Mus musculus: one gene and its partners. The protein of the gene in region 2 purifies or fractionates together with the protein of the main gene of each other region. This does not show direct contact. Links are inferred from orthologs where the notes say so. Each region holds a gene or a part of one and is shown on either strand. Other genes may lie near its edges.

Evidence for each region.
Region 1: the proteins of Ecd (region 2) and Eapp purify together in Homo sapiens (affinity purification with mass spectrometry; 3 studies listed by BioGRID and IntAct, counting the BioPlex papers as one, with this or other methods). This does not show direct contact. The link is inferred for Mus musculus from reciprocal best matches to the Homo sapiens genes ECD and EAPP.
Region 3: the proteins of Ecd (region 2) and Tssc4 purify together in Homo sapiens (affinity purification with mass spectrometry; 3 studies listed by BioGRID and IntAct, counting the BioPlex papers as one, with this or other methods). This does not show direct contact. The link is inferred for Mus musculus from reciprocal best matches to the Homo sapiens genes ECD and TSSC4.
Region 4: the proteins of Ecd (region 2) and Prpf8 purify together in Homo sapiens (affinity purification with mass spectrometry; 7 studies listed by BioGRID and IntAct, counting the BioPlex papers as one, with this or other methods). This does not show direct contact. The link is inferred for Mus musculus from reciprocal best matches to the Homo sapiens genes ECD and PRPF8.

What each region holds. Positions count from the first base shown.
Region 1 is NC_000078.6:54,692,046-54,698,353, forward strand, and holds the start of Eapp (E2F-associated phosphoprotein), read right to left. Parts: upstream 3,850-6,308; 5' UTR 3,740-3,849; coding exon 3,666-3,739; exon of another isoform or gene 3,415-3,665; intron 912-3,414; coding exon 730-911; intron 51-729; coding exon 1-50. UniProt on the Homo sapiens protein: May play an important role in the fine-tuning of both major E2F1 activities, the regulation of the cell-cycle and the induction of apoptosis. Promotes S-phase entry, and inhibits p14(ARP) expression.
Region 2 is NC_000080.6:20,323,129-20,328,751, forward strand, and holds part of Ecd (protein ecdysoneless homolog), read right to left. Parts: coding exon 5,475-5,623; intron 4,164-5,474; coding exon 4,096-4,163; intron 1,454-4,095; coding exon 1,245-1,453; intron 1-1,244. UniProt on the Homo sapiens protein: Regulator of p53/TP53 stability and function. Inhibits MDM2-mediated degradation of p53/TP53 possibly by cooperating in part with TXNIP. May be involved transcriptional regulation. In vitro has intrinsic transactivation activity enhanced by EP300.
Region 3 is NC_000073.6:143,067,176-143,072,970, reverse strand, and holds Tssc4 (protein TSSC4), read right to left. Parts: upstream 3,604-5,795; 5' UTR 3,458-3,603; exon of another isoform or gene 3,337-3,457; coding exon of another isoform or gene 3,151-3,336; 5' UTR 3,121-3,150; intron 3,036-3,120; coding exon of another isoform or gene 3,015-3,035; coding exon 2,061-3,014; 3' UTR 1,884-2,060; downstream 1-1,883. Other genes in the region: Trpm5 (transient receptor potential cation channel subfamily M member 5), read left to right, coding at 174-240, 535-623; CD81 antigen, read right to left, coding at 5,597-5,659, 5,738-5,795. UniProt on the Homo sapiens protein: Protein associated with the U5 snRNP, during its maturation and its post-splicing recycling and which is required for spliceosomal tri-snRNP complex assembly in the nucleus.
Region 4 is NC_000077.6:75,484,872-75,490,994, reverse strand, and holds the start of Prpf8 (pre-mRNA-processing-splicing factor 8), read right to left. Parts: upstream 4,219-6,123; 5' UTR 3,904-4,218; coding exon 3,804-3,903; intron 3,371-3,803; coding exon 3,202-3,370; intron 1,254-3,201; coding exon 1,089-1,253; intron 998-1,088; coding exon 779-997; intron 667-778; coding exon 454-666; intron 355-453; coding exon 229-354; intron 149-228; coding exon 43-148; intron 1-42. UniProt on the Homo sapiens protein: Plays a role in pre-mRNA splicing as core component of precatalytic, catalytic and postcatalytic spliceosomal complexes, both of the predominant U2-type spliceosome and the minor U12-type spliceosome.

The DNA of each region.
Region 1 (6,308 bases), on a different chromosome or scaffold from region 2:
ATAGAACTTTTCTGTGACTCCTCCCACTTTGGCAACTCCTGAAGAAGACCCTACCAAACCAGAAGTGAAGTTTACAAACTAAACCACATATGATCCACAGGGAAAATAAGCCTCCACATACACTTCTTCCCAATACTACATGACACATCAGTCATCAAAGCCCAGATCACCAAGCATATCCACTCCCTCATTTAGTAAGTGCTGTGTTAGTCAGACCCATTGCTGCAGCTCTGTCACCCAGCTACTCAAGGGGCTGAGGTAAAAGGAGCACAGAGGTTACATACAGTGAGTTCAAGGTTAGGTAACTTAGCCAGACCCTGTCTCAAAAATTTAGAAGAGATTGGGCTGGAGGGATGGCTCAGTGGTTAAGAGCACTGGCTGCAATTCCCAGCAACCACATGGTGGCTCACAGCCATCTGTAATGGGATCTGATGCCCTCTTCTGGTGTGTCTGAAGAAAGCTACAGTGTACTGTACATATACATAAAATAAATCTTTTTTAAAAAAATGTAAAAGATATCTAAGTGGTAGAACAACTTGCCTAGCAAACACAAGACCCAGGTTTAACCCCCAGCACCGCCCCCCCACACACACACTCACACACACACACATACACACACACACACATATACACACACAGAGTAATTCTTCAGCACCTACACAAAGTTCTAGAGACACAAAAGAACACAACCCTTTACAGGATATCTATGAGAACTAAGCCCAAGCTGACCTGTTCCCAGTGAGGATAACTGGTCCTCCATTGTCTTCATGGTGGAGTTTAGTTCAGCCTCCATTTCTTTTTCAAATTCATCTTCACTTGATGACTCACTTTCTCCAGTAAGACATTCCCGGATGAGTTTTCGCTTTTGGTCTGGGGTTCCATGTAAAAGCACATCCAGTTCATCTTCAGAACTAGCACACATTTAAAGCACAGAGGATATGAGTATTAAAATCAGGGCCTAGGTGTGGCTCAGAGGTATAGCACTTACATACATTGCATGAGCAAAGCCCTCAGTCTGAGGTATAGCACCACAAAACAAAGCAAAATTACTTAAAACTTCTATCATCATCTTACTGCTTGTGATGGTTTGTGTATGCTTGGCCCAGGGAGTGGCACTATTAGGAGGTGTGGCCTTGTTGGAGTAGGTGTGTCACTGTGAGCATAGGCTTTAAGAACCTCATCCTATTCTTTAGTCTGTGCCCACAGGAGAGCATGCTGTCGGGCTGCTCCTATTAAAGTTGCGTGTGAGTTTTCCAAAACAAAAAAACAAAAAACCAAAAAAACAAAACAAACAAACAAAAAAAAACCTCATCCTAGCTGCCTGGAAGTCAGTAGTCTGCTAGTAGCCTTCAGATGAAGATGTAGAACTCTCAGCTCCTGCCTGCCTGGATGCTGCCATGTTCCTACCTTGATGATAATGGACTAAACCTCTGAACCTGTAAGCCAGTCCCAATTAAATGCTGTCCTTATAAGAAGAGCTGCCTTGGTCATGGTGTCTGTTCACAGCAGTAAAACCCTAAGACACTGCTCAATGGCAATTATAAGTTTTAAAAGCTTGCATGGGATATACCTAGCACATTACACATAGATTATGCTCATTAATAGGCAAGAGATGAGCTAATCCTTCCTAGTTTCAGTTTTGGCTTTGGGTTTCTTTTTTGTTCTGGGGACAGAGTTTTACTATATAGCTCTGGTTAACCTGAAATTTGCTATATAGAGCAAGCCTCAAACCTGCAACAATCCTGCCTCTGCTCCCTGACCGCTGAGCTGCAGACATGAGCCACAAGTATAACCTGATCTCTTTCTCCTTGTATGCACATAGGCGTTCTACTTGTACGTGTATCTATATATCAGTTGTATTGCCTGATGCTCTCAGAGGCCAGAAAGGGCACTGGATCCCCCAGAGTTACAGTGAGATGGTGTGAGCTGCCCTGTGAGATCTGGGAACCTAATCCAGGTGTTCTGCCAGGACAGCCAATGCTCTTAACCACTGAGCCATCTTTCCAGCTTTCCTTTTGGCTTCTCGTATTATCACACTGCTTTCCAATACCATTATACCAATTCATTAACTAATTCTATTAAACTAAAAAAAAAAAAAAACTTTCTTCAAAGAACTGAGTTTTATTTAAATAAAACCAATATAATTATATACAATTAATATCCCAACATAAAATATTTAATAGGAATTAAATACTATAATTTAATTTAAAAGACGTGGAAAACTATGCTACAGCAAACTGTGAATAGAGAGAACTATGCACACTGACTATTCTTCCTGGAGCTGGAAACTGAACCCAGCATTTCATGCACCTGTTCTACCGTTGAGCTACATCATAGCCCTAAGAAAATTACAGTACATTCCAAATTCTAACTAACTTCTGTCATCGTAGACTGACTTCTGTGATTAGTTTCCTATCAACAGAATTATAATAAATGTACATCAATAATAGGAAGAAATAAAACAACAAAAATGAATTAAGTCAGGGCCAGCAAGATAACTCAGCAGCAGACAAAGGGCTTGTCACCAAGCCTCATGACCTGAGTTCAATTTCTGGGACCCACATGGAAGGAGACAAGTTGTAGATTAAGACGCGGAGAAAAAAGCCAGGCGTGAGCTGGGCGTGGTGGCGCAAGCCTTTAATCCCAGCACTCGGGAGGCAGAGGCAGGTGGATTTCTGAGTTCGAGGCCAGCCTGGTCTACAAAGTGAGTTCCAGGACAGCCAGGGCTATAGAGAAACCCTGTCTCAAAAAAAACAAAACAAAAAAAAAAAAAAAAAAAAAAAAACTGCGGGAAAAAGAACAACAAAGCAAAAGCCAGCTGCAAGAAATGCCTTGGACATTTTTTTCTTGTTTTAAGACAAAATCTTACGTAGCCCAGAACCAGCTTTGAACTCTTCACCCTCTGGCCTCCTAAATGATGGGATTATAGGCATACACTACCATGTCTGACTTAATTCATTTAACTTTTAAATTACAGTTTTAAAAATGTTGTGTATAGCCGGGCATGGTGGCGCATGCCTTTGGTCCCAGCACTTGGGGGGCAGAGGCAGGCGGATTTCTGAGTTCGAGGCCAGCCTGCTCTACAGAGTGAGTTCCAGGACAGCCAGGCTATACAGAGAAACCCTGTCTCGAAAAACAAAAGAAAGAAAGAAAGGAAGAAAGGAAGGAAGAAAGAAAGAAAAATGTTGTGTATATGGGCATATGGGTGCTATGGCATGCGTGTGGAGATCATAACTTAAAAAAAAAAAAAAAGCCCATTCCTTTTTTTTTTTTTTTCCATTCTCTATTCCCTAGTTTCTACTTGACAGTCTTCAAGATAAGTACTTCGTGCTAAGGGCCAGGCCCTCACTAGCTTAGGACACTGTCCCATACTTGTATTTCCATTTACAGATGCGAGGCCGAGAACTGACTTGCCTTCGGTCACAGTGCTAGTAAACGGTAAACAGGGTTCCATCTAAGGCTTCACGCCTGGGGGCCCACGTAATTCCGGAACATCCCTCTTCCCGCACTGCTGTCCATCCTGGTTCCCTAGAGACTGAGCAGCGCCATCAAGCGCCCCGAGGCTCCCGCAAGTGAAGCGGACGACACTGCGCCCAGGGACGGCCGGCGCGAACAACACAACGGCCTCAGCCAAGGCAGGGCGGAGACGCGGGGCAGCGGCCCACCTGCTCAGAGCCGGCTCCTCGTCGCTCGGCTCTTCCACCGCGTACGGGTCATAGTCATCCTGGAGTCGGTTCATGGCGACCTGAGGACGCCTACACCGCCCCGGCGTCTGTGTACTCCGCCAGCGCCTTCCCCAAAGCTTCCCGGAGACTCCACTTCCGCCCGTACTGCGAGTCCTTCCTGTGCGCCTGCGCAAGCCGTCCAGTGACAAGGATGCAAGAGACGGGGCGTGCGGAGGGTCAATGTTAACACGTCTCTACGTTTTCTTTTCCGCTGAAAATAGCAGTTGTCTTTGTGCATTTTTCTTCTCGCCGCCGCCGCCGCCGCCACCTCCTCCTCCTCCTCCTCTTAACTTAAGCTTTATTTAGGTTTTGAAAAGGTCTCACTAACCCAGTCTAACCTGTAACCAGTTATGTAGCCCAGGCTGGCTTCGCTCTGCTTACCGTGACCTGCGGAGAGCTGAGATTACAGTTGTATATCACTATCCAGTCAGATTTATTTCTTCAAAGTTGTTATCTTAGCCCTTCTCTCATGGTTTTTATTAGGTTTATTGGCTGTGTGCAAGTAAATAATGTATAATAGACCTACTCAGAAAAACACCACGGAAAAACGATTTTTCTTTTACTAGTTAAACTTAACAAGGGTGGATCTCTTAGAATCCTGTCCTCCGCTAGCAGAAACTGAATTGAGCTAAAAAAAACTTTTTCTTTGCCCAGAGCCTGGGCAGAAGCTTAGGTTTTGAATTCCAGATTCGATTGCCCACTACCAACAAACCCCGCCCCCGCCTCACAGCCTTAGTGGGCGGAGTCGCGTTGAGGGGCCTACAGACGAGTTCCCGCGGCGTCACCACAAAGGCGTGGAATATGTAGATGAGAATTTCACGCAAAGGCTACCGGTTCTCCCTAAATAGACATTTTTTTCCGTTATTGATAATATTTACATAATATAAGCGTATATTTATGGATCAAGGTTAGAAAAGAGAATATAATGTAGAGAAGACGCATTGAGGAAGAGACCGTAGTTATAAAGTAAGTATACAATGATGGAGAGCCTGCACACGGCACTCGCAACTCATACTTACCTGGCAGGGGAGATACCATGATCACGAAGGTGGTTTTCCCAGGGCGAGGCTCATCCATTGCACTCCGGATGTGCTGACCCCTGCGATTTCCCCAAATGCGGGAAACTCGACTGCATAATTTGTGGTAGTGGGGGACTGCGTTCGCGCTCTCCCCTGGCATTTTTGTTGAAAAAATAGAAAACATTTACTTTAGCATTGCGAAAGACTTGCTTTCTACCTGGTGTTTTAGTTTTTTTTTTTTTTTTTTTTTTAAAGATTTATTTATTTATTATATATAAGTACACTGTAGCTGTCTTCAGACACTCCAGAAGAGGGCATCAGATCTCATTACGGGTGGTTGTGAGCCTGGTTGCTGGGATTTGAACTTCGGACCTTCGGAAGAGCAGTCGGGTGCTCTTACCCACTGAGCCATCTCACCAGCCCTAGGTTTATTTTTGAATGATGTGTAAGGTAATTGTCAGTTGAAATAAGTTTTACTATCTCAGTTAGCACCAACAACTTGTTTTCTTTTTTTTCTGGTGTTTTCAAGACAGGGTTTCTCTGTCCTCGAACTCACTTTGTAAAAAGGTCAGATACTAACTGTTTAGGTGAAGCAAACCCAAAAGGTGTTGTATTTGCTAAGCTTTATGTAAACATGACACTAACTTCATGAAAACTTTGAGAAGATTCATATTGGGAAGTTGGACATCTTAATCTGTACAGGATGGAAAGGCTCATTGTGGGCGGTACTACCCCTGGGCCGGCACTCCTGCCTGCTAAGGTATGAGGGACTAGTAAAGTAAGCAACATGCCTCCACAACCTTTTCTTCAGTATTTGCTACATCCTGTTTCTGCCTTGAAATAAACCCTTTCTGTTCTGAAATAAACCCTTCCTCCCCAAGTTAGTTGATTTTGATCCTGGACCAGAAACCATAAGACAGGCATCATTTGTTGCGACCCAATTAATTTCATTAGGTTTGTCTGTATGAAATTTAATGTAATCTGGGAGGTGAGGGGTCTCCCCTCTAATATGTACTGTTATTTTGCTACATTATCATGTTGCCACGATGCCTTCTAAATATTTATATTTATACTCAAGGATTTGTGTTGCTTTCAATTGTCCGGTTGAAAAACTGCCAAGCGTTTTTCTGCAGCACATTAGTGTAGAGGTTTCTGAGGAGATCCACAACTGGTCAAAATGCAAAGAATAAGGAACAGGGCTCAACTGCAGGTGAATGGTCTATATCTGCTCCCACCCGAGATTCTGGGAACTCGGGAGAGGCCAGTCTTCTGTGAGAACTGTCTAGACAGGACCCAGCTGCTGCATGCATCACCTCACTGAAGCTGTGGTTACCAGCACAACGAGGTTGCAGGGATAGCTCAGTGGCTAAGAACACTTGCAGAAGACCAGATTTTCCTTCCCAGCACTGAGTGGGGCAGCTCATCTGCCTGTAACTCCAGTTCCAGAGGCAGAGCAAGGATATTGCCCAAGACCTTGGTAAATAGAGAGAAATCAAGGAAGATGCGCTATCTCAACCTGTAACTTTTTCCCACATTCAAACACACACACATGCGCTCATACATG
Region 2 (5,623 bases):
ACTTCAGTCCTGGAAAATCTGATGCTCTCTACTGGCCTCCAAGGGCACCAAGCATATACATGGTGCACAGACATACATGTATACAAAACACCCATAGATATATTTTTAAAGATTAAATATTCTGGGGTTTTTTGGTAAGATGCATTTATTTTATGTGTATGAATGTTTTGCGGGCAAGGCTCTATGTGCACCGAGGGTATGCCTTCAGAGATGAGAAGAGTATGTCAGGTCCCCTGGAACTGGAGCTGTGAGCTGCCCTGCTGAACCCAGGCCCCCTGCAGGAGCAGCAAGTGCTCACTCTCCAGTCTCCTCTCCCCTTGAAGAATATAATTAACCAGGCCCATGTCTGCAGTCCCAGCTACTCCGGAGGCTGAGATAGGAGGATCACTTGAGCCCAAGAGTTTAAAACCACTTTGGGCAAACTCACTACAGTGAAGGAAAGGTAGGAGCAGGACAGAGAAGGGGAAGAAGAGGGGGAAGCAGTCATTACGTCTGTATTTAGAAAACCAAGTTTATAATCTTTTTCTTTTCAGTGGTGAGGACTCAACCGAAGGCTCTGTGCATATCAGACATCTGCTCTACCACTGAGCTACGCTCTTAGCACCTGCCCTTCCTTCACAGACTCAATATGTGGTCCCATAGGTGTCAAACTCTTGGGTTCAATTGATCCTCCCCTCTCAGCCTCGTCGGCAGCTCTGAACTACAGGCACATGTCATTCATTGCACTTGGCCTCTATCATCTTTCATTACATCAGTGCTAAGGGAAAACTGGCACTCTTGGGGTTGGGAGTATCGCTTAGTGAAGTCTATGTGCTTAGCATGCACCCCACGTTAAAAAGAAAGGAGTCACTGTCAGATCGTATAAGGGCTTCTGAATATAGTTCTTAATGATTCATTTTTAATATTTTATGCTCTTTTACTATGCTTAACTCCCAAAGAATATTTTGTGTGTTTTGAAACAATTTAGTATTTAACATTAGATATAGGATTCTCAGTTATGGATAGCATTAAATATTCATTAATGATATATTTAGGGTATGAAAGGATATGAATGTGAAAGGATATGAATATAAAAGTTGAACAAATTTTTATATATATTATTTGATTCTCAAAATATTCACTATTATTAATATGTTTTATGCATAAAATGCATTTAAATAATAAAAAAACTAAGAAAGGAAAACTGAGATGACTGTGACTCACTTTCCTGCCCACTCAGAGACGGAGAGCTTAAGAAGCCTTACCAATCGCTCCCGCGTGGTGAAGCTTCTGCCCATGCTGGTGTGTGCCAGTTCCTGGTCCATCCGGGCCATGTAGGACTTGAGGCTGCCAAGGGCTCCTTTCAGAGACTCAGACTCCTGAGCCTCAAAGCCCACGTCATCATCACTGTCTACACCTTCCACGTCCTCCTCACCCGGGTCATCCTCAGAGTCTGACTCCTGAGGCTTTGCTCCTAGTCACCGAGACACAGAAGAACACTTGGTGAATTGTCCAAGCAGGGTTGTACCTCTCAAAAGGACTGGAATGTCACACCAGGGCCAAATGACTTAATCCAACTACTTTGTAAAAATCCTTTCCCAAGCTGGGCAGTGGTGGTGCACGCCTTTGATCCCAGCACTTGGGAGACAGAGGCAGGCAGATCTCTGAGTTCAAGGCCAGCCTGGTCTACAGAGTGAGTTCCAGGACAGCCAGGGCTACACAGAGAAACCCTGTCTCAAGAAAAATTAAAAAACAAAAACTTTCCCAAAACAGTAATTCAGGGACAATTATAGAATGGAGAACAGGCTGAGCCAAGAGATTCAATTTTAGTTTTTCAATAAGAATTTGACTAATTAAAAGTTTTTTTTCTTAAAAAGATGAAAAGCTGGGCTGTTGAGATAGCTCCCAAGGACAGGTGCTTTCAGTGCAACCTGGCGACCCAAAGGTGGAAGGAGAAAAATACTCCACGAAGTTGTCCTCTGATCTTTATAACCATGTTGTTACACATACACCTCCACAGTAATATATATACACACACACACACACACATACACACACACCAACAACAATAAAACACCATTTCCTTTTTTATTTAAACAGGAGGCTAGGAGTAGAACCTGAGAAGCAGGTATGAGGCCCTGGGTTGCTCCAAAAAATATAAAAAATGCAAATAAAAGTCTAGGAGCTGGAGAGATGGCTCAGAGGTTAAGAGACTTGCTGTCTTGCAGAGAGCCTGGTTTTGGTTCCCAGCACCCACACAGTGAATCACAAATGTCTGGAACTCCAGCTCTAGAGTATCCAACACCCCTGTGGCCATCTCGGGACCAGGCACACACATTGTGTACATAAATATACACAGACAATACTCATACATAAAATAAATCTTTTAAAAATACAAATACACAATTAAAAAATTAGAAAATTACATAAATATACATTGATGTCAACATTCAACTGCCCAGAGACACTGTGTCCTGCTCACTGATTTCTCTGAGTCATCCTTCAAAGCTCGGCTGCTGTCTAATGTCAGATGGAGCAGCTACAGCTCTGTGTTCAGGCACATGCAAATACAGTTTTCTTTCAGTAAAAGATTTATTTATTTATTTATTTATTTATTTATTGACAGGGTTTCTCTGTGTAGTCCTGGCTGTCCTGGAACTCACTTTGTAGACCAGGCTGGCCTCGAACTCAGAAATTCGCCTGCCTCTGCCTCTCAAGTGCTGGGATTAAAGGCGTGCGCCACCATGCCCAGCTTTCAGTAAAAGATTTATTTTCATTTGTGTGTGTATATGCTTATGCCCGTGTGTGCAGAAACGTGCATGGGCCAGAAGAGGGTCTGGATTCCATAGACCTGGAGTTATAGGAGGTTGTGAGCAGCCTAACTTGATTTCTCAGAACCAAACTCCAGTCCCTTGAAAGACCAGTAAGCCAGTCCCATGGTTTTCTTTCTTAACCTAGATGTCCTCACAGTGCACTATGGTATGCTTTTCTATATACCATGTCCTGTAGGCCTTCTTCTTGCAGACTACACAGGTGACTTCATACTTTATTATTTACCCATTTCTCTCTTGGTGGTCATTAGAGTTTGGGTACGACAACAAAAGCACTGCAGTGGCCATCAGTGACCATTTATCGTTCACAGAGCAAACCCCTGAAGTGAAATTGCTAAGTGAAAAACGATGGGCTTCCTAGAGTCCCAAACTGTCCTGTGAAACGACAACTTATACTTCTTCCTGCAGAGTTTGATGATAAAAAGAGCTGATTGTTAATTTTTTCAATAAGGTAAGAAAAAAATCCAGCTTTTATTTTGCTTGCTTACTAGGAAGAGCTGACATTTTCAGACGTTTACTGTTACTCTCCAGTGTGCAGCCTAGTCACACCATGTTTTTGTTTTGTGTGTGTATACATGTGTGTATTTTTGTTTGTTTGTTTGTTTGTTTTTTGTTTTTTTTGAGACAGGGTTTCTCTGTATAGCTCTGGCTGTCCTGGAACTCACTCTGTAGACCAGGCTGGCCTCGAACTCAGAAATCCACCTGCCTCTGCCTCCCGAGTGCTGGGATTAAAGGCGAGTGCCACCACACTCGGCTAAACGTGTACATTTTGACACACAGCCTCTCCACTGGACCTGGAGCTCAGCAGCGGCTGGAGGGATCGGCCTATCTGTTTCTGTCCCTTCAGTCCTGGAACCAGGGCCTATCCATCTGTGCCTGGCTTTTCACGAGTGGGCCAGGGATCTGTGCTCAGGCCTCACTCTCCTATGCAGCATGCACATCACTACCTGAGCACCTCCCCAGCCCTGTGCTGGTGGCTTCTCTCACTGCTTTCTAAAACGTTGTCTGAAAAAAAAAAAGCCAAAGATGTAATATGGAAGCCACACTAGAACCCTTTCAAAACAGCAAAGGTGCATGCCTGCAGTCAGTGAGCAGCTAGCAAGCCAAGCACTAATCAGGCTGCCTCGGTAGAGTGCTTCAACAGGGCAGGACTTTACAGTTTCAAACAACTTGAATCCTTTAGGAGAACGTAGTATCTTGGCTCATAAATGTCCTAATGTCCCAGTCCTCCAGCAACAATGATAGCCCTTCACAGTTTCAAAGTAAACACCACACTGTAACTCACCTAAAATCTTATCAAAATAATTCAGAAAAGAATCTGCATCAAAAGTGATTGGAGCTTCCGAAGGGTCTCTGAAAGATGAAAGGGAAAAGGGCATGACATTTCTCCTGACCACAGCTCTTTGAGGTATTTTTGAAGATGGTGCTATGCTTATAGAAAGTACCAGAAATATCCAAGAAAAGACAAATTTTAGTTTAAATAAATAGGAAAAATTCCTTGTGCTCATTAACCTTGAGTGACAATAGAAATACAAAAACCTGGTGACAGAAAAGTAAAAATGTACCTTTTACATACACCTAAGCTATGCATCTGGTGGCCCCTACGAGATACACAGTGAGAGGGACGAGTTATCTGAGATCATTAACACAACACTTTTTTTTTTATATATGTGTACCCTGTAGCTGTCTCCAGACACACCAGAAGAGGGCACCAGATCTCATTATGGATGGTTGTGAGTCACCATGTGGTTGCTGGGAATTGAACTCAGGACCTCTGGAAGAGCAGTCAGTGCTCTTAACCGCTGAGCCATCTCTCCAGCCCCCTATTCTTTCTTTCTTAACAACAAACATTGTCCAGGACCACCCACACTGAGCAAGGCTCACTGGGCTGGGGAGGAGCTCACCAGGATGGACTTGTTAGTGTGCAGAGCCTCCAGGTCAGTGCCATTACCACCAAAGAGAAAAGAACAGAGACCTGCTGTTCCCATAGCGATCTGCCTACCCTGTCCCCAGTGACTCGACACAAACAAGCTCCGGGACTCCTCCCTCCTCTGATGGGCTCCTTAAACCCCTCTCTCTGAGTTTCAAGACTCCAATATGCTTGTATGGTAGGAGATCAGAGGCTTGAGTTTATTGAGAGCTACATGCCATGAGTCTACAGATTCTGAATTAGAGTCTACAGAAGTGGAGCACGGAGAGTAATCAATAGAAACGGAGAAGCGGTAGAAGAAGAAGAGGAGGAGGAGAAGGAGGAGGAGGAGGAGTCGTTTGGCATGGGAGCCCACAACTTTAATACAAGTACTGTAGAGGCAGAGGCACGTTGATACTTACAATTTCAAGGCTAGCCTGGTCTATATAGTGAGTTCCAAGACAGCCAGGGCTATATAGAGTATAGAGAGACCTATCTAAAACAAAACCAACCAAACAAACAAACAAACCAAAGTAACTAACAAACAAGGTCTGGTGCTGGCTTTTAAATCCTTTGAGTTTTCTGCCTTGCTTCAGAAATTACAAAGGCTACTTGAAACCTCTCTCACCTCAGATAAGGAATAAGGAATATTGAAACAAGATGGAAGAAAGCTGAGGTGGACACAATACTTCACACGGACAATGACTTCAACCTCTGGAACAACTAATTGGGCAGCTCTGCCGCCGTGCGCTCACCTGGGCAGCTCTGCCCCCTTGTGGCTAGACACTTTGGAGATGAAGGCCTTCATGCTGTCTGAGACCTGCGCTACATCATAGTTCTGCAGCTCCTCCTTCTGGGGACCGGGCTGGGATTCTTTTCTGCCCGCAGCATCTTGCAGTAGCTG
Region 3 (5,795 bases), on a different chromosome or scaffold from region 2:
TCAGCACCACATCCGGTCACTATCCCTTATCATGCACTATGGGAGGACCTGGTCCAGAGTGTGGAGTCCCAGGGCAGCAGTAGCCCTGGCAGGAGGGCAATCACATGGGAGGAAACCAACCCGGTCCCCCCAGTCCCCACCGAAGTCTCAGTACCTCCCTTGGCTCTCTCCAGGCCAACTACTGTATGCTCCTCTTGTCCTCTATGACGGATACACTGGCTCCAGGAGGCACCTACTCAAGTAAGTATGGGTTCAGGCCATGGGAATGAGATGGGTATGGGCTCCTCCCTTCAGCCACTAGATTAGGGCAAGAGCAAAGCTGCGGGCTGTGTATTGTATTAGGTCCTGCCTTCTCCACCTGTGCTAGAGGTCGGTTACCCTCGGCAGGCCACTGTTCCTTAGTGTCCCAAGGCTCTGCCTAGCACTGGCCTTGCTAGCCTTGCCACTTTCCATGTCCTGGCCCTTGCCTCACTCCTGCCCTGCCCCAGCTGAGGCTCTCCAGCTGAGGGTCCTTTCTCCCTTTCTTGCTCCCAGGCTCTCAGAACTGTGGTTGCAGGAGTCAGCCAGCCTCTGCTAGAGACAGGGAGTACCTAGAGTCTGGCTTGCCACCCTCTGACACCTGAAATGGAGAAACCACTTGCTCTAGAGCCCCAGACCTGGCCACATCGAGTTTTTGGGGCACATCAACCTTCCCCCACTCCCAGCAGCCCCAAGAAATGGTCTTCAAGGCCTTGCTACAGATCACTTCTTGGACATCCCTTCCTAAGAGAATGAAACTCATGTCTTTGGCATCTATTCGGGAGCCTCAGAAGTATCCTCTCCAGCAGGGCAAGATTTTTCATGTCCCACTAAAGCTTTCACTGGCTTGGACTGGACAGCTGGATCTGGCCAAGTCCTACATAGGACACCATCTGCCTGGATGGGGCTATTTAGGTCTAACCCCTGTCTTACCCTGAGTTCCTAAGAAGCCAACCTCTTAAACACTAGGTTTCTTTCTGACCCCTGACCCACTCATTAGCTGACCAGCTCCTAGAGGGCAGGACTCAGATCTATTGTAATTACCTCCCATCTTTCACCCCCCACAGCATTATCTGTCTGATCATTCTGGCAGAAACCCCAAGATATTGCTCAAGGGTACCCAATGCTACTTTACTTTCTATAAAGCCTGTAGACCACCTCAAATCAGCTAAACTGGGCCACAATGGTGGCTAAACGGGACATTTCAAACACCCGGGGAATATGGAGGATTGTCTGACCTAGTGAAAGGCATCTCCGTTCCTTCCACTGCTCCTCAAATTAAATGACCATCCAGGTCCTTTTTAGAGGAACTCAGAGAATGGGGACTACAGAGGCTGGGGCAGACCTGGGTCTTAGCAGGTCTAGCTAACTTGGTCCAAGTCCCTGGCCTCCACAGGAAACATTCGCTCATGCATCCTCCCTGCATCCTTCTCTTCTTCTCTGGCTCAGCTTCAGTGGAATGACCCAGCATCAGCTGTGTCTTACACACACAAGTCCTGGAGACACAGCCAGACACCAACCATATGCTGCTTCACAACTCATCCTCTTCCTATAACCTGTGGTCTGTACAGGCCCAGTGCTGGGGCTGCATTGGTTTCTGGGGGTGGGGGTGGGGGTGGGTTGTGCAGATTATGCTCATTCACTACCATCAGGGGCACAAGGCTGAACACAGCTAAGAGCCCAGTCCCTCTGGGTAGTTTCATCAGTGACAAATGTAAATGACCATGGCAAACCTTCACGGCAGTCCTCACTGGAGTGGGGAAGGCAAGGTGAGGCTGCCAGAGATGCAGTCCTGTAGTTGGCTGCCCAGGACTGTTTGGACAGAACTCTTTGAGTGGGGCCCGGAAAAAGCCACACAATTCAAGAAATATTCCAAACGTTTATTATTCATCCTAAACACTGGGGCACAAAGGCCTTCGAGGTCCCCTGACCCACAATTCCCACAGTCTCTGCCAGAGCGGCTGCACACATCCCCCTACCACAGACAGCCCACACCTTCCCACTTGGACTAGCAGGTGAGGGGTAGAGTGATAGCACTGCAGTCAAACTGAGGGTCCTCTCTCAGACCCCGGCCCCCCAGGGTTACCGTCCCTGTTCCGGAAGTGGTCTCTGCTCCGCTTCTTGCTGCCATGGAAACCAACAGCCTTCACACCTATGGGGCCTGATGAGGACTCAGGATGGGCAGCTTCTGAAGGTACCACCACCTCTGGCTGTCCCTGGTGGCCACTCCATTCCTCAGCCTCAGGTCCAGCGAGATGGGCTAGCTCCACAGCGGCCTCACCCCCCGCACCTGACCCAACCCCCTTCTTTAGGACCCTCTTCCTCTCAGCCCTAGCCTCACTGTCCCTCACTGGTTTGGTGAAGACCACTCTTCCCTCCCCACAGCTAGAGGGGTCCTGGTTGAAAGAAGGCACATAGTCTGTGTGGGACACCTGGCTTCGAGAGCTCAGGAAGGCCAGGGCAGCATCACGATTGCTCTGCTCACTGGCTTCAGACACATCCTCCAGACTGTATTTGGTCCAACGCTCAGGGTGTGACACATAGTCAGGGACTGGGAGTACCCTAGTCGGGCCAGTGTTCCCATGCACTCTGCTCAGGCCCCTTGCTGGAGTCTGACTTGGGGGAGTCACGGGCCGCCTGAAGCTGCCATTGTCACTCACACTGGTTTGGGGAGCAGAGCACGGTGCCTGCCGGGCTGCACTCTCCAGACAATCAAAGATGCTGTGGCTGCGCTGGGAGAAGGTAGAACTCATGCCTCGGAGGTGGAATGGCTGCACTGCAGTGGTGAGGGTGCCCGTGGGGGGCGATGGAGGGTCCTCAGGGCCGGAGTCCTCCTGGCCCTCCTCCGAAAGCCTCTCTGGGGACAACACTTGGACCTCCACACCACTAGGTAAGCTAAGGTCCGAGTCCGAGTCGCTGAGGGAGACGGTGTCAGAAGGCAGGGTGTCATCCTCGGTGGGTTCATCAGCCTCCAGGCCAGCCTCTGTCTCCGCCATACGACCTGACACCCGTCCCACCTGTAGCGAAGCAGTCCCAGTTCCGCCGTGAGGGGTGTATTTAAGGCCTCATCCCTCCCCGTCCTCCCAGGCTCCCGTCTTTCACCTCCACTATGTGTCAAGTGCCTCTACTCACAGCCGGACGGGAGGCCTCGCGAAGCTGGGTGGTTAAAGGGTATCCTAGCGCGCACAGATACAGGAGCTGCAGGTTAGGTGGGGTTAAGGAGAGAGTCAACCATGAGATCATAACAGTGTGGACATACAATAGATGAGCACTGGGAGATGCTGGTGACAGGAGATCTCCATCAGCTGCTTGTCCCATCACGGGCTCTCAGTAAAGCGCAGCCTCTCTAGGTACAAGCGCCACCCGGGTCCGGACGAAGGGCTGGCAGAAACAGGCACGGGAATGCCCTGGCCGCGGCCTTAGGGAGGCCAGTGCTCACCGTTCCAGCGTCCGTACACGCCTCAATACCCTGCCGCCTTTCTCGCAGCGTCCCGCCAGTTCCCCGGGATTCGGTCCTGTCCAGTCTCGCTCGGGTTCCTGGGAAACCGAGTCTCGGGCGATCAGATTTTCGTGGCTTCAGCGCCCGAGAAACTACAACTCCCAGAAGGCAATGGGTTCCCGCCTAATGTCAGCCGGGACTTGTAACCTTAACAAGCGTGCCAACCCGGAGCGCACACGGAAACCCACCCAGAAATGACGAAAAAGGAAAAGGCGGAGCCACGGTTCCCACAATACTCCAGGGCTAACTGCCAATCGCAAAGGGTTGAGGCCTGCAGCTTCGCCTGTCGGAAGCCGTCCCGGCCGGGTCCGACACAAGGAGGAAGTGCGTCACCACGCACTGTGAGCGCCAACCAGTTTCCTAGACATTTCCGGCCCTGGGCGGAAGTGGTGTGGGTCTTGTGCTTTGTTGGCTTTCTGGAGTGAGGCGGGGCCAAGGTCCTGGTTGGCTCTTGGCATGAAGAGACGTAGTGGTCCCTGGGGTGGGTTGGTTGGGGCTTCAGAGATTCGAAGCCGCTATCCTGGGCTCTGCCTGTCTGTGCTTCCTGACGCAGGAACGGACACTTTAGTTGCAGGACGCCGCCCCTACTAGTCAAGGCCACACATAATCCTCCTCCAGGCGTGGGGCTGTTTTCTTGTATCCTTAGGGATCAGAGTCTGAGACACCATGGGGCTGCTGCATGCGCCTCTCCTTTCCTATGTTTCTGAAGCTGTGCAGCAGGCCTCCAACAGCTTTGGCCTGGTGCCCATGGACCTCATAACATAGGATATAAAGGGCTCCTCAGACCAGAAACCAACCAAGCACGGAACAGGTTGCATAGGCGTGGGAGGTAGAGGTGGCGGAGACCTAGAATGTCCTAGTACAAGCTTGGGGTTCACCGACAAATAAGCCTACTGGGAGGCTGCTAGAAGCTGGGCCATGAATCTTGGCTAGGGCGTCTCTCCTCTAGTGGCCAATTAACTATGCCAGCAGCCTGGGGGAGGGGCGCAGACAGGAGACAAAGGGAAAGAGACAGTGGTGGTTGCCCCTGGCGTCCGGGAGGTTGCTTAGCCTGATCCTCAGTTCACAGGGGTAAGTGAACTGCCATCTTGCCTTTTACTTATTGAGACACAAGCCAGAGCCACCCAGCTCCGTGGAATCTTTTCTTGAGATGGATGGGGTAATGGGCTAACCTTTACTGTCTTGTCCCTGAAAAGGAGGGTGTTCTTGCAGCTTATCTCCATCATTCTGTGCTGAATTTCCCTGCTTAGGTGGCTCCTCCTACCCGACTCAGCCTGACCTGTCATGTCCAACAGATGAGTGGAAATGAGGTCAAGGCTGGCGTAAAGTCAGCATTGAGCTCCCAGTATAAGGAGGTACAAATGAGGGAGGACCCATATGGAGTGCTCCCAGGGTCCCAGCCCTCCCCACCCACTGTGTTCCACAGCCTCTATTGGACCTGCTCACCCTGTGCCTGGCAAAGTTCAGAGCTGATGAGCCAGGTCTCTGACACCGCTAGCACAGGAAGAGGTCTGGCAGTCCCATTAGCATGCCTGATTTTTTTCCTCCTTTATTAAATGACTGTTTCAAGATTTAATTACAGTTGAAGGTGACACGTTAGAAAGAATAAGTGCATTGAAGGCATAAGAGGGCTTACAAACCCAGCTCTTGAAATGGAGGCAGGAAAGGAACAAAGATTAAAAAGATGTGAGCAATGTGACCCACAGTGGGTTGAGTGGGTGGGCATGGCCCTCTAGCTAGGCTACAAAGCCTCTGGGCAAGTAGCTGTAGAGGAGGTTTGGCTCAGCAGGCAGAACTCTCCAGGGGTCCCAGACGTACAGGGCCCTGCAAGCCAGGGCCAGCTCCACCCCTACATCCCACATATGCCACCCATGTGTGATGTCAGCTCCCAAAAGGTAACAGGAAAAGTTCAGGACAAAAAAAAAAACTAAAACAAAAACAAAACAAAACAAAACAAAAAACTCAAAAGTAAAAAGACTAAGTGTAGCAGAGTGATACAGAAATATTATATACACAGGCCATGTCCCCCAAGGTGGCCTCTGGTCACTCCAGGGATCCTCTGGTGCAATGCAAAGGGCCTCAGTACACGGAGCTGTTCCGGATGCCACAGCACAGCACCATGCTCAGAATCATCTCAAAGATCTGCAGGAGGGAGGGGCATAGTCAGCACCTAAGGCCCTGGGAAGGATCCCACCCACCCACCAGAGACCCTGTGCTTACCATAATGACAGCTACCACAATGGCTGCAATTCCAATGAGGTACAGCTTCCCAGAGAAG
Region 4 (6,123 bases), on a different chromosome or scaffold from region 2:
CTCATTCCCAGCCGCCCTCCAAAGCATGTGATTCCCTCTTGCCTTGACTGAGTGTCTATGGGAGATTGGGTTGATCAAAGGATCAAAGTAGAAAGCTGGCAGATCAGGATCCTCAGTCTTGATGAACACAACGTTGGGAGTGTGGTACCTATAACAAAAAGAAGAGTCAGCCAACATTCTCGTGCTCTGGCCTTCTCCGTTCTAACTGCCATGCTGCAAGCGTCTTACCAGGTCAGGTGGACGTGGTGTGGAAGGTTGTTATACAGGTAAGGAAAAGCAATCTTGTACTCAGTACGAATAGGCTGACGGATGATGATCTTATTAATATCGTTAAATTCATTCCAGTCTTCATCCCTAGGACAGAAAGTCAAGTGAGTTGTCTAGTTCCACTGTTAGACAGGATCTTAAGATAAATATTAAATTTTAACACACACAAGGTGCCTCCCAACTTACTGTAAGTTGATGTCTCGAACAAGAGGCTCAAATTTGGGTCCCCCAGGAATGGCCATGTTGAGTGCCTTAGAGGTAAAAAAGGCCTTCAGATCAAAGAGATAGAAGTAGTTGTCATCTACAAGGTCAGTCAGAAGCTGATTGGCCAGTCGGTAGAGTGTGGACATCATAGGCAATGTGAACTGCCAGCGTTGGTAGGTGGAACCATTAACGTACCTAGGGAAAAGATGGAGGGCCCCCATCAAGTAGGTTTTGAGCCCAGTCGCTTACCTACTGCCTCCCCACAGCTCCTGTTTGCAGAACTCTCACAGAAATTAGTTCCACTCACTTCCTACTGTCTCTCAAAGGCTGGTGGTCATAGAACCAGTCCAACACAGGGGCATCCTCCTCTGGGTCCAGCTCTAGCTGAATGGCTTCCAGTGGCTCAACATCTAAGATGTTGTCGGCATAATCCAGGGGCGGTTCCTCGTCATCGAAAGGGGGGAAACGCATCCTCTTGAAATGCCTCCTGTCTCTTTTTTCTCTACGCATCATGATCCACATTGACCTAAAATGCAAGAGCATCATGTCCACTGATCTCAGCTGCAACACCCCACCCCAGCGCCCAACACCTCCCACCATACTCCAGCCCTTCTCACCCCCACTGGGAGATGTAAACCGGCTCGATAACCCAGGGAATCTCGTTAACAAAGGAGATGGCTCCAGTGATGTGGTACAGCACAGGCACGTCCCGGATCTGCTCCCAAGGCATGGGCATGTTCTCAAGGAGCTTGAGGACTGCATGAGGCATGTACTTAAGAGCTCTGCAACGAGGAGGAGAGACCATGAGAAAGAACTAAGGGTTCTGTTATCTGTCCCCTGCTGACAAGCCAGTTATCACGTGTTCCACACAAAATGCTGCCTTATACTCCAAAGTCCCAAATTAGGACTAAGGTCCTACACGATCACAAGTCCTGCCTCCTCATCTCCACCTTCATCTAATACCACTCTCCCTTTCAAATGTCTTGGTGCGGGACCCAGTCTGTAGAAACTAACACCCGTCCCTTTGAAAGCAACTTCCTTCTACCCTTCCTGTAAATTCCAATACCTTCCCTGTTCTATGTGGTAACCATTTGTCTCTCATCCATCATACCACTAAACTTATACTCCTAAAAAAAAAAAAAAAAAAAAAAAAAAAGGACCAATACGGTCTATTCACTGAAGACCAAAAGCAAGTTTCAATAATAACAGTAATAATGTTTATTGTTGTTTGTTTGAGACAGGGTCCCACCGTATAGCCCTGGCTGGCCTGAAACTCACTGTATAGAACAGAAGTCTCACCTATCTCTGTCTCCCATGCACAGAGACTAAATGCCTGTGCCACCACACGTGGCTTTGCTGTTTTTGATGGAGCATCTCACCAGGTAGTTCAAACTGGCCTCAAGCCCATGATTCTCCTGCCTCTGCAGCTAAGGGCAGAGATTACATGCAAACACTACCACGGCTGCTTAAGTTATTTTTGTTGTTGATGTTTTATTTTTTAGGACAGAGTTTCTCTGTCCAGCCTTATCAGTTATAGAACTCACTCTGTAAACCAGGCCATCCTCAAACTCAAAGTAATCAGACTCCCAAGTGCTGGGGTTACAGGCGTATGCTATTACCTTGCCCGGCAAGAAGTTGTTGTTATTGTTATTTCTTTTTTTTTTTTTTTTGCCGTCGTACTTTTATTCACATCATGTATTGTTATTTCTATTAATGGTTTTTTCAAGACAGAGTTTCTCTATATAGCTCTGGCTGTCTTGGAACTCACTCGGTAGACCAGGCTGGCCTTGAACTCTGAAATCAGCCTGCTTCTGCCTCTCGAGTGCTGGGATTCAAGGCGTGCACCACCACTGCCTGGCTAAGAAATTATTTTTTGGCTAAGAAATTATTTTTTGCAATAAAACTCTCAAGGTGGGGCTAGAAAGATGGCTCAGCAGTTAAGAGCACTGATTGCTCTTCCAAAGGTCCTGAGTTCAATTCCCAGCACCCACATGGTGGCTTACAACCATTTGTGATGGGATCTGATGCCCTCTTCTGGTGTGTCTGAAGACATCTACAGTACACTCATATAAATGAATTAAATAAATCTTTAAAAAGGAAAAAAAACAAAAACAAAACAAAACAAAAAAACTTCCAAGGCTTCCCCCACATCAATTAATTAACAGGCCAAATTTTTGTATCCAAATGGAATGTTAAGAATCTCTGCAGCTTGAGGTGGAAGAATTAACAGTAAAAGAGCGACCCCAGGAATGAACTATCCTAAACCTCTGAATGATAGTGACCAAAGAGGCATCCAGAATGCCTAGTGTCTTAATTTGAGCTTCAAACAGTTCCACAATACCAGACATTTTACAACAACACCAGCAGGGCAAAGCAAAACAATCAATGGCATAGGTAGACGATCTGGAAACTATCACAGAATCCCAGTGGTCCTAGCCTTACTCCTACAGTCATCCTATGTACAGCCTAGAGCCATGTTCCATGCTGGACACGGTGACATCTGCCTTCAATCCCAGCTCTTTGGAGGCAGAGGCATGGGGATCCCTATCGGTTAAAGGGCAGCCCGGTCTACAGAGCTAAATCCAGGGCAAAAATGCCCACACAGGGAAACTGTCTCAGTTAAAAAGTCACATTCCAAATGCTAGTCCCTCTATCCAGCACTGTCAATGAAGGGGCAGAGGAAGGAAAGAAGTCAAACTCCATATGATATTATCCTGGGATGTTACTCACCCCAAATAGACCCTTTTGTCATGACGGAACTTCCTGTTGGTCATGTCTCCATGGTCTCGAATGATCTTCCTGACATGTTCTGGTGGCATGTCTTCCTTCTGAGCATCCACAAACCCAAATTTCCGCTTCTCTGCATATCGCTTGGCCTGCAACTGCTGCCATTTTCGAGCTAGAAAAGCACCTCAGCTTAAAGGGCTGCACACATTTACCCTAATTATCCCTAACTCTTGCCCTGGGGCAACCCTCGGCATGCTGTGAAGAGAAATACTCACTGCCAAGTATCCTGCCATTTTACTACCCCAAACCACCTGATATTTTTGCTATAGATGTTTTGGGGAGGGTTGTTGTCTAATTCCTACATAGTAATGCAAACCCTATAAGGAAACAGGTTTTATCGTCATTGATGCATTTTACACACACACACGTACACAATAAGCTCCTGCAAAATAACAGGCACTTCCAAACTTTCAATGATTGGACTCAATTTTTAAAAATGTAAATACTGCTAATAAGCACACCCCTGATGACCTGCCTATGGAGGGAAGAAATGAAACCCGCCTACACGTTCGAGCCCGCGCACGCCGTTCCCGTTCGCCTCTCACCTTTCTCCTGCAGCTTCTCCTCTGACATATAATCCGGCAGCGGGGCTAGAGGGCCGGGCACCGGGTTACCCGGCCCTCGGTAAGGAAACACTCCGGCCATGCCGGGAGAATCTGGGATAGAGAGGCAGGCCAAAACTAATGAGCTAGGCCCGGGCCCACAAGGGGCAGATGGAACACGTCCGGAGCCCCCTGGCCTGCACTCTAGCCGGGCTGAGCGCTCGGGACCCGGGCCTGGCGCAGCTCCTCGGGCCGCTCGGCCCACTCGATTACCTTGCGCTCAGCCTCAGACGCCCACCACCCACCTGTCGCCCCTCACTCAGGTAGCGGCTAGGCTCGCAGAGCAATGGCGGAAAGACGACGTCCGCTCCGCGTTCCCAACTCCAGGAAGTGCGCAACCAGGCTCAGAAGCTCATCCAATAGACGCCGAGATGCTCTGATGGATTAGCGACATCTCCAATTGACGTTGCAGCCCGAGCCGGAGAGGCGGGTCTAAAAGCGGATTTCAGGGCGAGGGGTGTGGTCAGGGTAGGCTCACGCCCCGCCTTCTGCCAGTCAGTTTAGGAGCCCTCTCTAATAGATCTGACATTTAATTGGCTATTGATATTGTTCCTCAAAAGCCAAAGCCATACAATTTTAATAAGTTTGCGTACGTTGCACATTTCCCCTATATTTATTCTCATGAATTCAGAGCTGATATGTAGTACTAACTCCTACTCAATGAATCCTTTGTTCTTCTATTCCTTCATTACATTACTGTTAATAGTGGTAACTATGTACCAAAGAGTCAAATAACTCTTGGACCATCCAAGGCAGAAGGAAGGCTGGCAAAAATGTATGATGATCTGGGATGGGAATGTACTTCAGTTTGTACAGGAGGCCCTTGGTTCATTCCATTTCTGGCAATGCATAGACCTGTAGGATCTCAGCACTGGTGGGGGGTGGGGGGTGGGGGTGGAGGGGCGGGAGGTTAAAGGCAGAATAGTCATAAATTCAAAGTCTGGTCCTGGAAAGAGGACTAAACGATTAAGAGCTTTAGCTGTTCTTCTAGAGAACCTGGTGTGATCCCCAGCACATGGTGCCTCACGACTGTCCGAAACTCTGATTCTAGGGGGATCTGAAAACCCTCTTCTGCCCTCTGTAGATACAGAACACACATGGTGCACATACATACATGCAACCCAAACAACCCATATACATAAAATATTTTTTTTTCAAAAAGACATTCAAATTCTTCCTCGGCTATATAGTGTTTACCAAACCTCAAAAACAAAACAAAACAAAACAAAACAAAGAATCATTAATGTTTTGCCTTCATGTATGTCTGCCCACCACGGACATGCCTGGTACCCAGGGAGATTAAAAGAAGACATTAGCTCCCCTGGAATGGAGATAGGTATGATCTACCACTTGGGTGCTGGGAACCTGGGTCCCCTGCAAAAGCAGTAAATCTTTTTAACCCCTAAGCTGTCTCTCCCAACGCCTAAAGATTCTTGTAACACAGCATGATGAGCACTGGCAAGCATAGCATGGTAATCTGACTTCAGGGCGCCAGATTTTGAGCTTAATGCTTGATTATTAGAAGTAACGTACTAGATTTAATGCCTGGAGCTTCAAGCAACAAAATTAACTGAAGAATAAAAATAAAAACCCTGCCAGCCATGATGGTAATCCCAGAACTTGAGAGGCAGAGGCAGGTGATCTCTGTGTTTTCAAGGCCAGCCAAATCTACATAGCAAGTTCCAGTACAGCACAGCCAAGGATCTAGAGAGAGACTGTATCAAAACAAATAATCGTGCTTCTTTGGGAGATGGAAAGGAGATAACCTAGAAAACTTAGAAATGTCTCTGGGGAATTTCACTGGTAACGACCTTCTTCTCTCATTTCTCTTTCCTCTATCTGGCAACGATCACTCTAACGCATGCTATAGACAAGAAAAAAAAATGTTCTGTGTAAATCATAAACCAATAAAGACCTTAGAAGGAAGCTTAGGAAAAAATATAGGAGCAGGACTGAGGATGTAGCTGACTGTAGAGCATTTCCAAGTATTGCAAGGAGAGTCTATATTATAGCCTGACGAGGAAAGATGGATGAGAAGGATTTGACTGCAGCAAAAGATCAGAAACAAAGTAATTCCAGGTGGCCAGAACAGCTACAATACTTTTCTCTCCACAATGTTAAGAATTGAGCCCAGGGCTGGGCAGTGGTGGTGCACACCTTTAATCCCAGCACTTGGGAGGCAGAGGCAGGCAGATTTCTGAATTCCAGGCCAGCTACAAAGTGAGTTCCAGGACAGCCAGGGTATACAAAGAAACCCTGTCTT